Elephas maximus indicus: one gene and its partner. The protein of the gene in region 1 interacts with the protein of each later gene in a pairwise test. Links are inferred from orthologs where the notes say so. Each region holds a gene or a part of one and is shown on either strand. Other genes may lie near its edges.

What was found.
Region 2: the proteins of CCNDBP1 (region 1) and C1H6orf226 interact in binary tests that used the Homo sapiens proteins (3 or more experiments, as listed by UniProt). The two-hybrid records come from large-scale screens. The link is inferred for Elephas maximus indicus from reciprocal best matches to the Homo sapiens genes CCNDBP1 and PEX39.

The regions. Positions count from the first base shown.
Region 1 is NC_064828.1:12,855,082-12,863,096, forward strand, and holds the start of CCNDBP1 (cyclin-D1-binding protein 1), read right to left. Parts: upstream 3,010-8,015; 5' UTR 2,918-3,009; coding exon 2,809-2,917; intron 2,642-2,808; coding exon 2,582-2,641; intron 2,271-2,581; coding exon 2,191-2,270; intron 1-2,190. Other genes in the region: TMEM62 (transmembrane protein 62), read right to left, coding at 3,772-4,098, 6,873-6,991. UniProt on the Homo sapiens protein: May negatively regulate cell cycle progression. May act at least in part via inhibition of the cyclin-D1/CDK4 complex, thereby preventing phosphorylation of RB1 and blocking E2F-dependent transcription.
Region 2 is NC_064819.1:107,310,649-107,317,126, forward strand, and holds C1H6orf226 (uncharacterized protein C6orf226 homolog), read right to left. Parts: upstream 2,391-6,478; 5' UTR 2,358-2,390; coding exon 2,061-2,357; 3' UTR 509-2,060; downstream 1-508. UniProt on the Homo sapiens protein: May be a peroxin involved in the PTS2-mediated protein import pathway.

The sequences.
Region 1 (8,015 bases):
TGAAGTACTCACCATATCTTAGACCAAGATCTGGCAAACTATAGCCCACAGGCCAAATCAAGCCTACTGCCAAGTTTTGTAAGTAAAGTACAGTAAAACCTGCAAAAGCTGGAACCTGTGTAAGGTGGAAACCTGTCAGAGAGGAAAACTCAATTTTTTTCCAATAAACCAAGCGAGAGAAAAGTGGTAAGGCTGCACCCTGTGAAAGGCAGAAAACTTGCAAGGCCTAGAAAAACAAGGCAGTCCTGTTGAGTTCTGGCTCTGACAGGTTTCACTGTATTACTGGAACACAATTATCTACTATTTGCCAACTCCTGTCTTAGACCATTATATCTCCCCACCCTCATTCTCTCCTTTGTTTTAATAGAATCACATGGACTCAGCAATGTTCAATGTTGACTCTCTTCCTCTAAAGCAGTCACTGGCTTTCTCCTACCTTCCTTGTCTTCACTTAATCTGCTAAGTTCTAAGCCCGTGCTATGCCAGGTGTGGCCCACAGGTTGGTGCCAATCCACAAACTGTTTATTACCAGTCCAGGATGATATAAATACAGTGATTGAGAATAAGTATTTAGGCACTTTCATGGCAATTTGACATTGTGTAACATCCAAGCACACAGTTTTCTAAAAATATCTATCAGTCCATAATGGGTGATATTCCTCATCTGAATGATCGCTGCTCAAAACCACGAGAGCTCATTCAACTCCGTAGTTTTCAGTGTATCAGTATTCAGTGTATTTTAAACTACAGGACTAAGATGCTGAGATTCCTTATATATGTCGTTCAAATAAAACCAAATTCTAAATTTAAATTTTCACCCATGAGTAAAATCACTGTACTGAGCATGTACAGAAAAATAGTTCTATGTTGCCTCCTCATGGGATCTTACTAGCTATGAATTTTGGCAAGTCCTAAGTGTATATGAAAGAAAGGAATCTGCATATAAGAGGAAAAAAGGTAATACTGCTAGTTCCTTTGATAGAAATATTGACTTTCTTCCACGAAGCTTTTAAAGTGCTGTACTCCGAGTCATCCCGTTTCCTCAACACAGATCTCTGAGGTATGAGGAGGGGGTTTATCATTGTGGGTTCAGTGAAAGAATGTATCATTTCAAAGCATCGGAGACTGAAACTACTGACCATGAGAATGAAGTAAGTCAATGAGTATGCCACTTTTAAATAATCTTACCCCCCAAATAGGCATACTTAGCTCTAGAAAAACTGGGCATACCTGGTCCCAGCCTACATGTTTATTTTCATTAGTTTTATAATATAATAAAGTGTTAAAGTGTATAATTCTTTGTTCTAGTAATGCCACTTCTGGGAATTTTTTTTCTACCAATATGCATACGCACACACAGATTGTACCAGGTAATTCACCACAGCACTCGTTATAGTTACAAGTTACATTTGTGTAAAAAGCATGTGTACATGAATGTGTATATGCACAGAATAAATATGGAAAAATACAAAAAGAACTGGGGGGGAGGCAAAAACGAGAAACTGGAGTTGTGAGATATAAACATTTTAGCATACTTTGATATCTTTTTAATTTCATACCATATACATGTTACTAATTCAGTATAAAAAATTAAAATAGTTCAGGAAAACTGGATGAATGGAAACAGGGAACCTGGGGTGGAGAAGGGGAGAGTGTTGACACATTGTGGGGTTGGCAACCAACGTCACAAAACAATATGCGTATTATTTAATGAAAAACTCTTTGCTATGTAAACTTTCACCTAAATCACAATAAAATAAAAATTCAAAAAGGGTTTTATGTAGTACAGCAGAAAAGATGTAGCTTTGACAACAGACAGACCCCAACTTAATCCCGGCCTCACTGCTTATTTACCCTAACATGAGCGTCTGAGCCTGCTTGTTCATCTGTCGGAGGAGGGCTATGTATGTGAAAACACCCAGCAAGCTGTAAGTGCTTTTTTAAAAAAGTTATCAGAAATGAACGAACCAGGCTGGACTTTAAATTGAACCAATATTTAGAAGACCTGTCTACTCCCCACCATGTAGCGCACCTGGCAATTTTACGCGCATTGCCGTATTTGGTCTTCACAACAATCCTTTAAGGTAAGAACTGTAATCCCATTTGGCAGATGAGGGAATTAAGTCCCCTGGCTTGAGTGTAAAAGGTGGGAAGGAGGCAGCACAAGGAAACTGGGGAAGTGAAGCCCACCTGTGGAGACGGCAGCGGAAGTCTGGAGAAGGCTGTGGTCAGAGTCGTGGCTTCGCTGGCCACTTTCACAGCCGCCTCGTCTGCAGGGTGGAAGAGGAGGCAGGTGCCAATGTGTTAGTGCCAAAACAAGGCTGCAGCTGCTCGCAGACGTCAAAGACAATGCGTTCCCTCTTCACCCTTGCCGGCTGAGGCGTCTCAAAAACACCTCCAAAAATCACTGCCGAGGAAGGGTAAGGAGAGGTACCCCCACGCTGAGGATACGGCGGGGGAGCGTGGTCACCTCCCTGAGGGAGAGTGGGAGGGAAAGGGGTTGGGACGCAGCTCAGGGTGCAGAAGGGCCCAAGGATAAACGGAAGAGGTAAGGGATGGGGACGCCAAGACTAGCACTCACTGAGTCTCCTCCAAAACTTCTCCCGATTGAACTCCTCGGTGGTCTCCTGCGCTTCGCCGACTTGTGGGTGTGGCGCGTGGGGGCCGGGCGGGGGCAAAAGAAAAGCTGGAGTAAGCGGAGCCAGCTCTGCCCCCCACCTCCTCCGCCCCGACCGCCGCCACCGCCCCAGCCTGCTCTCTCCCCAGTCCCAACCCGCCTGTCATCGCCCCGCAACGGCGTCAGCTCACCCCGCACTCCAGGCATGAGCGACCGCAGCTCCACTGCCAAGTGCCGGAGCTGCTCCAAAGGCGGAGCCAGGGTGGGGAAGGCGGCTGCAGGGGCAGCTGTGCTTGCCATCTCAGTCGCTTGCCTGGTGACTACAAACGTCGCCACCGCCGGTACCAGAGACGCACTGCGGAAGCCACCCCACTTCCGGGAGCCACAAACTGAGGTCCGCTTCCGGCAACAACCCTTCACGCCCCGCCCCGGGAGCGCTGCCTCGCCCCTATCACTTCAGAGGCCGAGCCACGTGTCCACGTCAGCAGTCACTCTCCGAAGACAGGCCCCGCCTTCCTCCCGCCCCCAGGCGCCAGGCCACGCCTCCTCCCGCTGCCTGATGCTAAACCGCGCCCGCCCCTCCCCGCCTAAGGCCAGGCCACAACACGCAAGAGCCATATTGATTCCTCATTGATTCATTCATTTATTTGATTAACTGAAAACACCCCCGACTAAGGAAGCTGAGAACCATAACCCTGCAGGAAAACAGGGCTAGGAGCTAACATCTGAAGGGCAGTTAGGGTCAGGTCCAAGTTCCAAGTTCCCTGCCCCTGAAGTGGCACCTCTGGCAACTGCTGAGTGCCAAGCACTGTACTAGGTGCTTTATGTGGGGTAACGTAAACACCCTGGGCCTCAGATGCTCCCATACATACACCCAGCCTGTGGATCCACCCTGAGGATCTCCTAGATTAGGGCTTTCTCTTCACAAAGGTCAATCAACCTTTTGCATTCTTGAGGAAGAAAGAAATCACAGCATTAATTAGAGATTTTCCTCCAGTCCATTCTGCAGCAATCAGTAGTGGGTAGTCCCTTTAACTCCCAGGTGTCCAAAAAGCTGCAGCTCCACGAAGCTCTGCCACCAGCACTGGCTCTCCACCTGCTTCACTAGAGGTGGAGCTGAGCTGGGCCCAGCTGCTCATGGGGAGGCATGGCCTTCAGGAGCTCAGGTGGCTTTTTAACTGCACAATGAAGGTTCCAAGCTCAGTGGGGTTCAGTGTCCACACACAACGAATGAGAATGGGTGTCAGCAGTGTCAACCAGGTCCGCAAAGGGGAGAAGAAAAAAGCTAGGGTGCCATACGTCACGTGAAGGAAGTAGCAGGAGTAGACCTGCCAAACGTACAGTAGTAGCATAAGTAGGTGAACAGGTACAATTTTCAAGTATTTTCCTTGGTGGAGATGAGATCTGAAGTTGTGACCAAAGCACCGCTGCAACAAGCTCCAGGACAGGTAAGTCATCAAGGGGATGTTAAAAAACACCAGCTGCAAAGAGGAGCAGAGGAGAACCATTAGCTTTCTACCACGCCTTGGAGGGGTAGGTATCCTTAATACATTATTGGTAGCTCCCAAGAATGTTGCCTTTTCTCTTGGGGTTAGTTAGTTCTCTGATTCTCTCCTTTGATCACTTGCATATTATACAACAGTTCACTTATACTATAGTTAGTTTTGTATTTGCCTGTGTCCTTTTGTTCATCTTAAAGGCAGGTGTCATTTATGTTGAAATCTCCACTACCACATAACAGCAGATACTCAATAGAGTTTAAGTTGAATTGAGTATGTGTATGTGTGTGTTTATACTCATGTGTACACACACACACATATATATATATATATATAGGCTCTAACTTTTTTTTTTTTTTGGTTGATGGGAACTTGGGTATCAGTATTTTTTTTCCTTATCTCTATTTGAGGCGGCATGAGTGCTGGAATACAAATTAGAAGCTTTAATACAAGCTTAGGTGCTGTTACGATTCATTCATTTATTCAAAAAGTAATTACTGGGCACTCATTATGTGGAAGGCACTGTACTACGCTCTCAGTTTTGGACACATGAGTGAGCAAGTCTGAAAAGATCCACTATGGAGCTTACATTCTAACAGGGAGAAGAGAGACTGAAAAAAAAAAAAGATAACTGGTTGTGGTAAGTTCAATGAAAGAAAGAACTGGTCATGAAAGTAACTGGGAGATGACCTCTCTGAGGCCTGAGGACAGGAATGAATCAGTGGAGGGACATGCATTCCAGGCAGAAGGAACAAATAAAAAGCCCAAAGGTGGGGGAGGCCTTTAAGGCCAATGTGTCTGGAGAATGACCAACCAGGTGTAGATTGGAGCAGACAGTAGGGCCCAGATAATGTCACTGCTCTGCTTAAAGGGTTATACTCTGAGAAGTGAGTGAGCTGATTCAGGTCTTAAAAAGATCACATTGGATGCTTTGTGGTGAACTGACAGTAGGGGAGCAAGAGCAGGAGTAAGAAGAGCAGTGAGGGGTCAGTATAGTAGCCCAGGGAAGCCATAATTATGACTAGGTTGGTGGCAGCAGAGATGGTGAGAAGTGTATAGACTCACGGTGTATATTGGAGGTAGACCAAACAAGGTACAACTTGCTGATGGACTAGATATAGCACATGAGGGAAGGGGAAGAACTGAGGATACACCCTGGAGAAACTGGATGAATGGTGGCGCCATTTATTGAAATTGGAAAGAACCAAGAGAGGAACAGGTTTGGGGATGAAAATTAAAGGTTCTATTAGAGACATAATATTGAGATGTCTGTTAGACATCTAAGGGAAGATCTGAAATGACAGTCGAATATACAGGCACTTGAACTGCAGAGAAGAGGTCTAAGCCAGAGATACAGATTTGGGAGTCATGAACCTGTATGATGCATAAAATCCATTTATTAGTGTACTATTTATTAAACTATGAATGTAAACATTTACAAAGAGAAAGAAGTCTTTTGGCAAAGTTCTGGTTTTACTTGGTAAAAGAGTGCTCCCGAGATCCAGCCTCCATCTACATAATGGAAACTAAACTGGACCTAGGACCTTCTCACATATACAATGCTGCCATGCAGGGAATGTTCTAGCCTAGGCTCAGTGTTTGCTAGGCCAAGGTCTTGCCTATTTGACTGTCTCCAATCCTGCTCATCTTGTTTTACTGCCCTGGTATGAGGCTTTGAACTCATTGTGAACCATGTTTTTTGATCTCTTCCAAAACTTCAGATTACCACCTCAGATTCTGGTCCAGGTACAGTGGTTAAGAGCTCGGATGCGAACCAAAAGGTCGGCAGTTTGAATCCACCTGCCACTCCTTGGAAACCCTGTGGGGCGGTTCCACTCTGTCCTATAGGGTTGCTGTGACTTGGAACTGACTCAGTGGCAACGAGTTTGGTTTTACCTCATTAAACAAAAAACCAAACCCACTGCTGTTGAGTTGATTCCGACTCCTAGTGACCCAGTAGGACAGAGCAGAATTGCCCTATAGAGTTTCCAAGGCTGTAAATTGTTACAGAAGCAGACCGCTAGGTAGAACGGCTGGTAGGTTCAAACTGCCACCTTTTGGTTAGCAGTCAAGCATTTTAACCACTGAGCCACCAGGTCTGGCTTGTTGGTCTAGCGCCATCAGATGAGTAAAATAAAGAACTAGGTAAATACTTTTGAAATCTGTTTATGGAGATTTGCTATGGGTCAGGGCTCTTTGTGTGTTTTAAAGGACTCTTAATCCAAATGTATACCTAATCTATCAGCATTTCCCATGCAGGTACCCTGCTAAGACACCATGGGAAAGCCCAGGTCTCGTTTTTGCCCAGTGCCATTTCCATTGGATAAATAAGCCACTTTTCTTGTGTGTCTATTTTTACTTTCTTCTTCCTGAAACATTTTCGTTCTTTATTAATCATAATCAATTTTGATTTAGTGTGAACTCTATCATTTATTCTACTATTAGACCCTTATTTCATCTTCTGTCAATGAAAAAGCAAAATGAAACAAGTAACAGCAACAAAAATCTCTTTCACCTCTTACAAATCCTGCCTTCCAAAAATCTATTTTAGATGTTTACAAGAGAGTGGTGGAAGAAAGCACTTAGGAAGCACTCTAAATACAAACAGAACACCAGTTATTAAAGACTGCCCTGACTGCAAAGTCGGAAAGATGATCCACAGCATTTCATTTCAGATTTGGGGGGTAATTCATAACTGTAATGCAATTAGTCCAACAAGGCCAAGATGTTCTTAAATTGCATTTCCAACTTCTTACCTGGAGAATTCCAACTACAAATGTTAAGCTGCCTTGTAGGAAATGTCCATCAACAAAGATCCCAAAAGAAAAGCAGCAACCCAATTTGCCTGTAATGATTTCACCAACAAACCATGGTCCTAAAAGAGGCAATGGATAGGAAAGGAGATTATATAATTATGACTCTGATTACATACATCTATGAGATGCATTACAGGAATAATGAAAAGATATGAGACTACTTAAATCTATAAGCATTTTATTTGCCAGGCTTTTCTTCTTTGCTAATCTCTGTGTTGCATCTGATGTCCTAACTATCCATCTAAGTATCTGCTCCCTTCCTCCATATTTCTCTGGGTTGTAAAAGCTACACCGGGAATAGACATGTAAATGTAGATTCCAGAAACAGATTGGAGCACATTTATTAATTTTGGAAGGTTTTATTGCAATAATAACCTCAATATAAAGCACTATCATTTTCTTTAAGAAGCAAAGAGATATTCCACAGAAGCTTATTTTCCAGATAATTGAGATTTACTCCTTTAACCAGTGAAAAAATTTTCAACTACTTTTTGATGAAAATCTTTCTAAAATATACTTGTATGTACTTCTCATTCTCATTAACATAATGAATGTATTTTAATCTTTTCTTGATGACCCACAGTCATTACTGTGTACACCAACTACGTACTTAGGGTTAACGTATACAGAGTTTCACTTGCTTCTTTAATTTTTCATCTGGAATGCCATGCTGACTTTTCAGTCCCCTCTATTAATTACTGGCCCTTCTCAGGGTGCAGTTTCAGGGAACTACTGTATTGTCAATGAGTGGTAATGGACAGTCAGACTTCCCTTCTCAAAATGCAAATAACCATTTGTTGGCAAGAGTAGAGCTCAGCTTTTAAAAGTCATATGCAGTTTTCTCAGATACATATTACAAAAACTCCTTTAGAGAGATTAGCCTAAAAAAAGTGTTTTATCTTCAAGTTTCAATTTTTACAAATGGAGCAACTTCTGCCCTTTATTGTTTTCTTTTCCAGCCTAAGAACCAAGCCACTTGCTTTGCCTCCTGGTGTAAGACAAGTGTCTCAAAAAGCTTTGGCCCATCTTCTAACGGAGAGCTGACCTCCAAGGGGGAATGTGCCAGAGCTTGTTACATAGAAT
Region 2 (6,478 bases), on another chromosome or scaffold:
AAAAGATAGCTTTTTCCCTTCAAACCAATTAGGTGATTCATACTAACAACACAGTGGTAGGTGCCCAAGGTCCCCACACTGTCTGTAACTTGGGGAAATGCCCACCTTGTTTCTGCTGGGCTTCAAGGTGGAATTTTGTACAACCTAGATCAGGAAGGAGTGAACCATTTGCTCCGTTTGGCATGGATGACATTAGCACTACAGGTTTTTTGTCTTTTAGGCCCTAGGCAGGCAACTTATTTAGACCCTTCTTGGTGTTGCTTTTACCTTAAATATTCTGAACTTCAGAAATAATGCCCTCTGCCCTGCTGACAGTGATGTAGTAGACCAACAAAAGGGCTTCTGGGGTGTTAGACCTGAACAAAGGGGTCTGATTCTGCTTGTCTTTATCATCAATGTCTGCTCTCAATGAGCTTTCCCTTTCAACCTCCCATCTAAGCAGTTGATGAGGGTCTATCAGGCCAAGATTAATGCTTAACTGTTGTGTTCTCTGGTCCCTTCAGATCAGTTTTGCTGCAATTTCGGCTCATGGGAGTCTCAAACATAGCTGTGAAATTGAGTTCAAGGTATAACAATGCCTTAAAATGTGCCAGGTTATGAGGTTGCTTGGCTTAAGAGTTAATACACTGTAAAGCACTGTGAAATGAGATTAAGGTGATGTGTCATGAAGTCAGGGGAAAAACTAGTTGTGAAGATGGAAGCCTAGGGTTTATGTTCCAAATTTATCTTGTACTAATTGTGGGAACAATGTTTCCACCTGTGCCTATAAAATGGGGCTTAGAACATCTAGTCCTGGTGGCTCTGTGGTTAAGAGCTTGGCTGCTAACCAAAAGGTTGGCAGTTTGAATCCACCAGCAGCTCCTTGGAAAACCTGTGGGGCAGTCCTGTGGGGTTGCTATGAGTTGGAATCGACTTCACAGCAACGATTTTTTGTCTGCTTCACAGGATTGTTTAAAAGATTAAGCTGAGTAGTTTTTTAACTTAGAATTTTGTATAAATAGAAGAATGGATCAAAAAATTATGTACTGCTGCTTAGCGTCCCATGATAAATCATTCCCTAAAAATGTAGATCTTATTTCTGGGAAAGCTAGCTCCATGTATTAGTCTGTAGATAGTGTACACCAACGTGAGTTGCTCTTGACATTCCATGTATACACCTGTTAGGTTCTAGGTTTGCAGGGAAAACAAGTTTTAGGGAGTAAGAATAGGTGCAGTGAACCACATGGCCTACTAAGGAGACTAACCAGAAGGTCGTGGGAGCTTTTCCTCCTTGGGCTAAATCTCTAGCTTCGCACCTGACCTAGCTGGTTCCAGAGCCAAGGGTTCCAGGGTTTTTGTTGTTGGTTGGCTTTTTTTTAATGCTTTGGGATTTCATTCAACTTAAAATTTTTTTGTAAAATTATTATTTGCACTGCACGTGGAACAAATAAAGGTTTGAGTGGTCTGCAGTTTTTCCCATCCCCTTTTTCCATTAGTTTTTCATGGAATTTTCCCAGATAAAATCTGTGAATACACTAACATGTTTAAAGCATGGTAAACTATAGACTTCCACATGTTGGATTTTTTTCTTCACTTAATGTATCTTCAAAGTCATCCTCGGTGTAAGTTTTATGATCAAAGCTTTATTAGCTACCCATCTGGAGAATGGATGTCTAAAAACTCGATTTAGATCCCAGATTCACTTTTCCACTACCACCAGGATAAGGAATTGTTAGACCCTAGGCAGTGCTTCCCCCAGGGAGTCAAACCCCGTTAGTGTGACCCAAGTAGCAATTTGTACGTGAAAAAAACAGGGCTGCGTCAAAGATAGTAAAGCATAAAACCTGCTTCAGTTACACGTAAGGACTGGGGCTAGGTTTTCGAAGCTTTTAGCTGAGGCTCACGGTCCAGAAGCAAGGAAACAAAGCTATCCTGACGATGACACCCCACGAGGATCTAGTCAGCTGAGACGGTCGGGGTGAAGGCCGGCAACCAGAGTCCCCAGTTCGCGCAGAACGTAGTCGCGCCCGCCAGGTCTGCGCTGCAAAGAGCCTCGAGCCTCAGGAACCACCACGTACCGTTTACGGCCGCGCGGTCGACACCTCGGCCGAGCCGGGCTCGGGGCGGCTCCTCCAGCCGACAGTCGGCGGCGCGCGGGACGGCACACAGGCCGCGGCCTCCCAGGGCTTGGGCCTCCGCGGGAGCTGGGACGCCGTGGGCTCCCCTTGGGTCGCCACGATGTCGCGCCTCTCCAGGCCCGGGAGCTCCTGGCCCTGCTGGACCAGCTGCACAAGTTGCGTCAGGGTCACCGAGGCCGGGTCGCTCTGCACGGCTGTGGGAGCTCGGACGCGGGAGGTCGTGCTTCCGGACCGCTCCATGTTGGGCCGCGAAACCTGACCTGCTAGCGAAGCAAACACTTCCGGGTGGTATGGGTGCAACCACTATCGGAAGAAATGAAGGGGAGGTCGTAGACCATACCAAGCCGTTCCAGTGGGGGGAAACACTTGAGAACCCTGAACGATTCTTCTCGGAAAGGCTTCACGCACGTACACAATTTAGACCACCTCCAGAGCCCCGACGTGGGAAGTGCTTTAGAAGAAAAAGAATTGCGCCAAAACTTGAAGGCTTGCACAGAATGCATGCAGGCACGCTGATCCAGGCAAAAAGACCCACGTTTCCACATTGCACACTTGCACAGGCACTGCACACGTACCTAGTTTCATGCACACGCAGAAATGCGAACACACAGGGCACGTCCGTGTATAGACACACGGCAAGGGGCCAATTCCCAGGCGGGGTCCTCAGCGCAGTGTAGAAAATACCTGTGAGACTGTCATCAGTGGCTTCAGGAGAACTGGGAATGAGAGATACCATTGCAGAGCGTCACCACTCTTCCCATTTCCTGCCATCCGGATCCTATTCTTGGTGCTCCCAAAGGGAATGGGAGAGGTGAAGGCAAGTCAGGTGCGCCACAGTCGCTCTGGCGACTAAGAAAGTCGGTGTCAATAATTCTGAGGCTTCTAACTTATCAAAAACTAGCCTGGAATATACAAGGAACTCAATGGAGAAAAGACAGAAGATGTCAAGTATTTCATTTTACTTGGATTCACAATCAACACCCATGAAAGCAACAGCCAAGAAATCAAAGGATGCATTGCATTAGGAAAATCTGCTGCAAAAGACCTCTTTAAAGAGTTAAAAAGCAAAGACATCACTTTGAGACAGGTCTGGGGTCCTGCGGTAAAATTAACCCTCTTGTGACCCAAAAACCAAAACCAAACCAGTGCTGTCGAGTCGATTCCGACTCATAGCGACCCTATAGGACAGAGTAGAACTGCCCCATAGAGCTTCCAAGGAGTGTGTGGTGGATTGAACTGCTGACCCTTTGGTTAGCAGCCATAGCACTTAACCACTATGCCACCAGAGTTTCCCTCTTGTGAACAGAGGCTGTAAAAATTCCAAAGCAAACAAGGCTGGACACAGGAAACCAGTATCTCAACCTGAGGCTAAATTTTAAACCGTAAGCAACCAGATTTCCCTTAATGCTTCCTCTTAGGATTGTTTTTCAGGTAAACCAACTAAAACCAGCATTCCACACCGGCGCAGAAACAATTTGGTTGACCACTGTATGTCCTCATCCCATAATAAGTCCTGCCTAAGAACCAAGAAACTGGTGTCAAAGAACTAAAAACGCCAGACATACAGCATCAGATAAAGCCAGACCCAGTTTAGAAACGAGAGGTCCCACACCCACTTCCTTGCTAAGACTTAGCCCAGTCCTTTTAAATATGCATGCTATATCCCAGGAGTTTAATGAATAACTTCCCTCTTACTGCATAGTATAAAACTTCTCCCACCCCTTTGTTCTGAAAGATAATGCTTTGAGAGTGATCTTTCTATCTCCTAGTCCTTGCAAGTATTAAACTATGTCTCCTTTAAAATCCACTTGACTGTAGTTATTCTTAATAAGATTACAAGCGCGAACCCATTTAAGGACTAAGGCACGCCTGACCCAAGCCATGGTGGTTTTAAATGCTTCATATGCATGTGAAAGCTGGGCCATGAATAAGGAAGATGGAAGAAAATTGATGCCTTTGAGGTGGCAAAGAATTTTGAATATACCGTGCACTGCAAAAGATCGAACAAATCTGTCTTGGAATAAGTCCAGCTAGAATGCTCCTTAGAAGCAAGGATGGCCAAGTCTTAGTCTCACACACTTTGGACACGTTATCAGGAGGGACCGGTCCCTGGAGAAGGACATCATACTTGGTAAAGTAGAGGGTCAGCAAAAGAGAGGAAGACCCTCAACAAGATGGATTGACAAAGTAGCTGCAACAATGAGCTCAAACATAACAACTTTAAGGATGGTGCAGGACCAGGCAGTGTTTTGTTCGTTGTACATAGGCTTGCTATGAGTAGGAACCTACTCGATGGCACCTAACAACAACAACTCAACAACAAAAAGACCACCCCATTTAAAAATGGGCAAAGGTCTTTGTCATGGATTGAATTATGTCCCCCCCAAAATGTGTGTATCAACTTGGTTAGGCGATGATTCCCAGTGTTCTGTGGCTATCCTCCATTTTGTGATTGTCATTGTATGTTACAGAGGATTAGGGTGGGATTGTAACACCCTTACCAGGTCACCCTTACCAGGGAAGCTAGCAGAGAGGGGGGACTTCATATCACCAAGAAGGCAGTGCCAGGAGCAGAGCACTTCCTTTGGACCCGGGGTCCCTGAGCAAAGAAGCCCCTAGTCTGGGGGAAGATTGGTGAGAAGGCCAACAGAGAGAGAAAGCCTTCCCCTGGAGCCGACGCTCCACATTTGGACTTTTAGCCTACTTTACTGTAGAGAAGTAAATTTCTCTTTGTTAAAGCCATCCGCTTGGGATATTTCTGTTATAGCAGCACTAGTACTAAGACAGCCTTGAACGGACATTTCTTCAAAAAAGAGATACAAATGGCTAACAAGCACATGAAAAGATGCTTATTAGGGACATGCAAATCAAAACCACATTGAGATACCACTTCATGTTCATTAAAAAAAAAAAGTTGCTGTGGAATTGATCCTGACTCGTGGTGACCCCATGTGTTATACAGTAGAACTGCTCCAGAGGGTTTTCTTGTCTGTGGCACAAGCAATTGGCAACTGGCTAACCCAAAAGTTGGTGGTTCAAACCCACCAGCAGTTCCATGGAAGCAAATCCTGGCAAACTACTTCTGTAAAGATTACAGCCAAGAACCCCATGTAACAGTTTTATTTTGTGACACATGGGGTTGCCATGAGTTGGGGCTGACTGGATGGCAGCTAACGACAACAACAATCTTCACACTTAAGGTCACCATGAGTTGGAATCGACTAGACTGCAGTGGGTTTAGGTTTTTTGTTGTTGTTTAATCTTAACAGAAGCAGATTGCCAGGACTTTCTTCAACAGTACCATCGGGCAAGTTCAAACTACTAATCTTAAGGTTAATAGTCAATAGTCGATTGCTAACCATTTGCACTACTTAGGAACTTTTCACACCCACTAGGATGGCTATTATCAAAGCACACGCACACACACGTACAAAAACACCAGAAAACAACAAGTTTTGGTGGGATTCTAAAATGGTGCAGCCACTATGGAAAATAGTTTGGCAGTTACTCAAAAAGTTAAACATAGAATTACCTTATGACCTATCAACTCCACTGCTAGGTATGTATCTCAAAGACTTGAAATCAGGGACTCAAACAGGTATTTGTACCCCAATGTTCATTGCAGCACTATTCACAAGAGTCAAAAGGTAGAAACAATCCAAGTGCCCGTCAACAGATGAATGGATAAACAATATGTGGTATATCTATACAATGGAATATTATCCAGCCATAAAGAGACATGAAGTTCTGATACATGCTATGACATGGATGAACCTCGAATGCATTGTGCTAAGTGAAATAAATCAGACACAAAAGGACAAATATTGTATGATCCCACTTATATGAAATATCTAGAATAGGCAAATGCATAAAGACCAAAGTTTATTAATAGTTCCCGGGGGCTGAGGGAAGGGAGGAATGGAGAGTTATTGTTTAATGGGTACAGAGTTTCTGTTTAGGATGATGAGAAATAGTGGTGATGGTTGTATAACATCGTAAATGTAGTTAATGTCACTGAAGTGTACACTTAAAAATAGTTAAATGGAAATTTTATGTTATGTGTATGTATATATAGCCATAATAAATCTTTTAAATTAGAAAAGTAAAGCTATCATCTATATGAAACCAAATGGTCAACATTTACTCAAAAACAAAGAAAAGAAGGAAACTAGATTACTAGAAACGGAACAAGCAGAATGGAGATAATGAGAAAGTCGACACACTGAAAAATATAACCAATGTCACTGAACAAGTTGTGTAGTAATTTAACAATTACTGGGAGCCTAATTTGCTGTGTAAACTTTCACTGAAAACACAATAAAATACTTTCATTAAAAAAAAAAAAGTGAAATTAGCCTGAT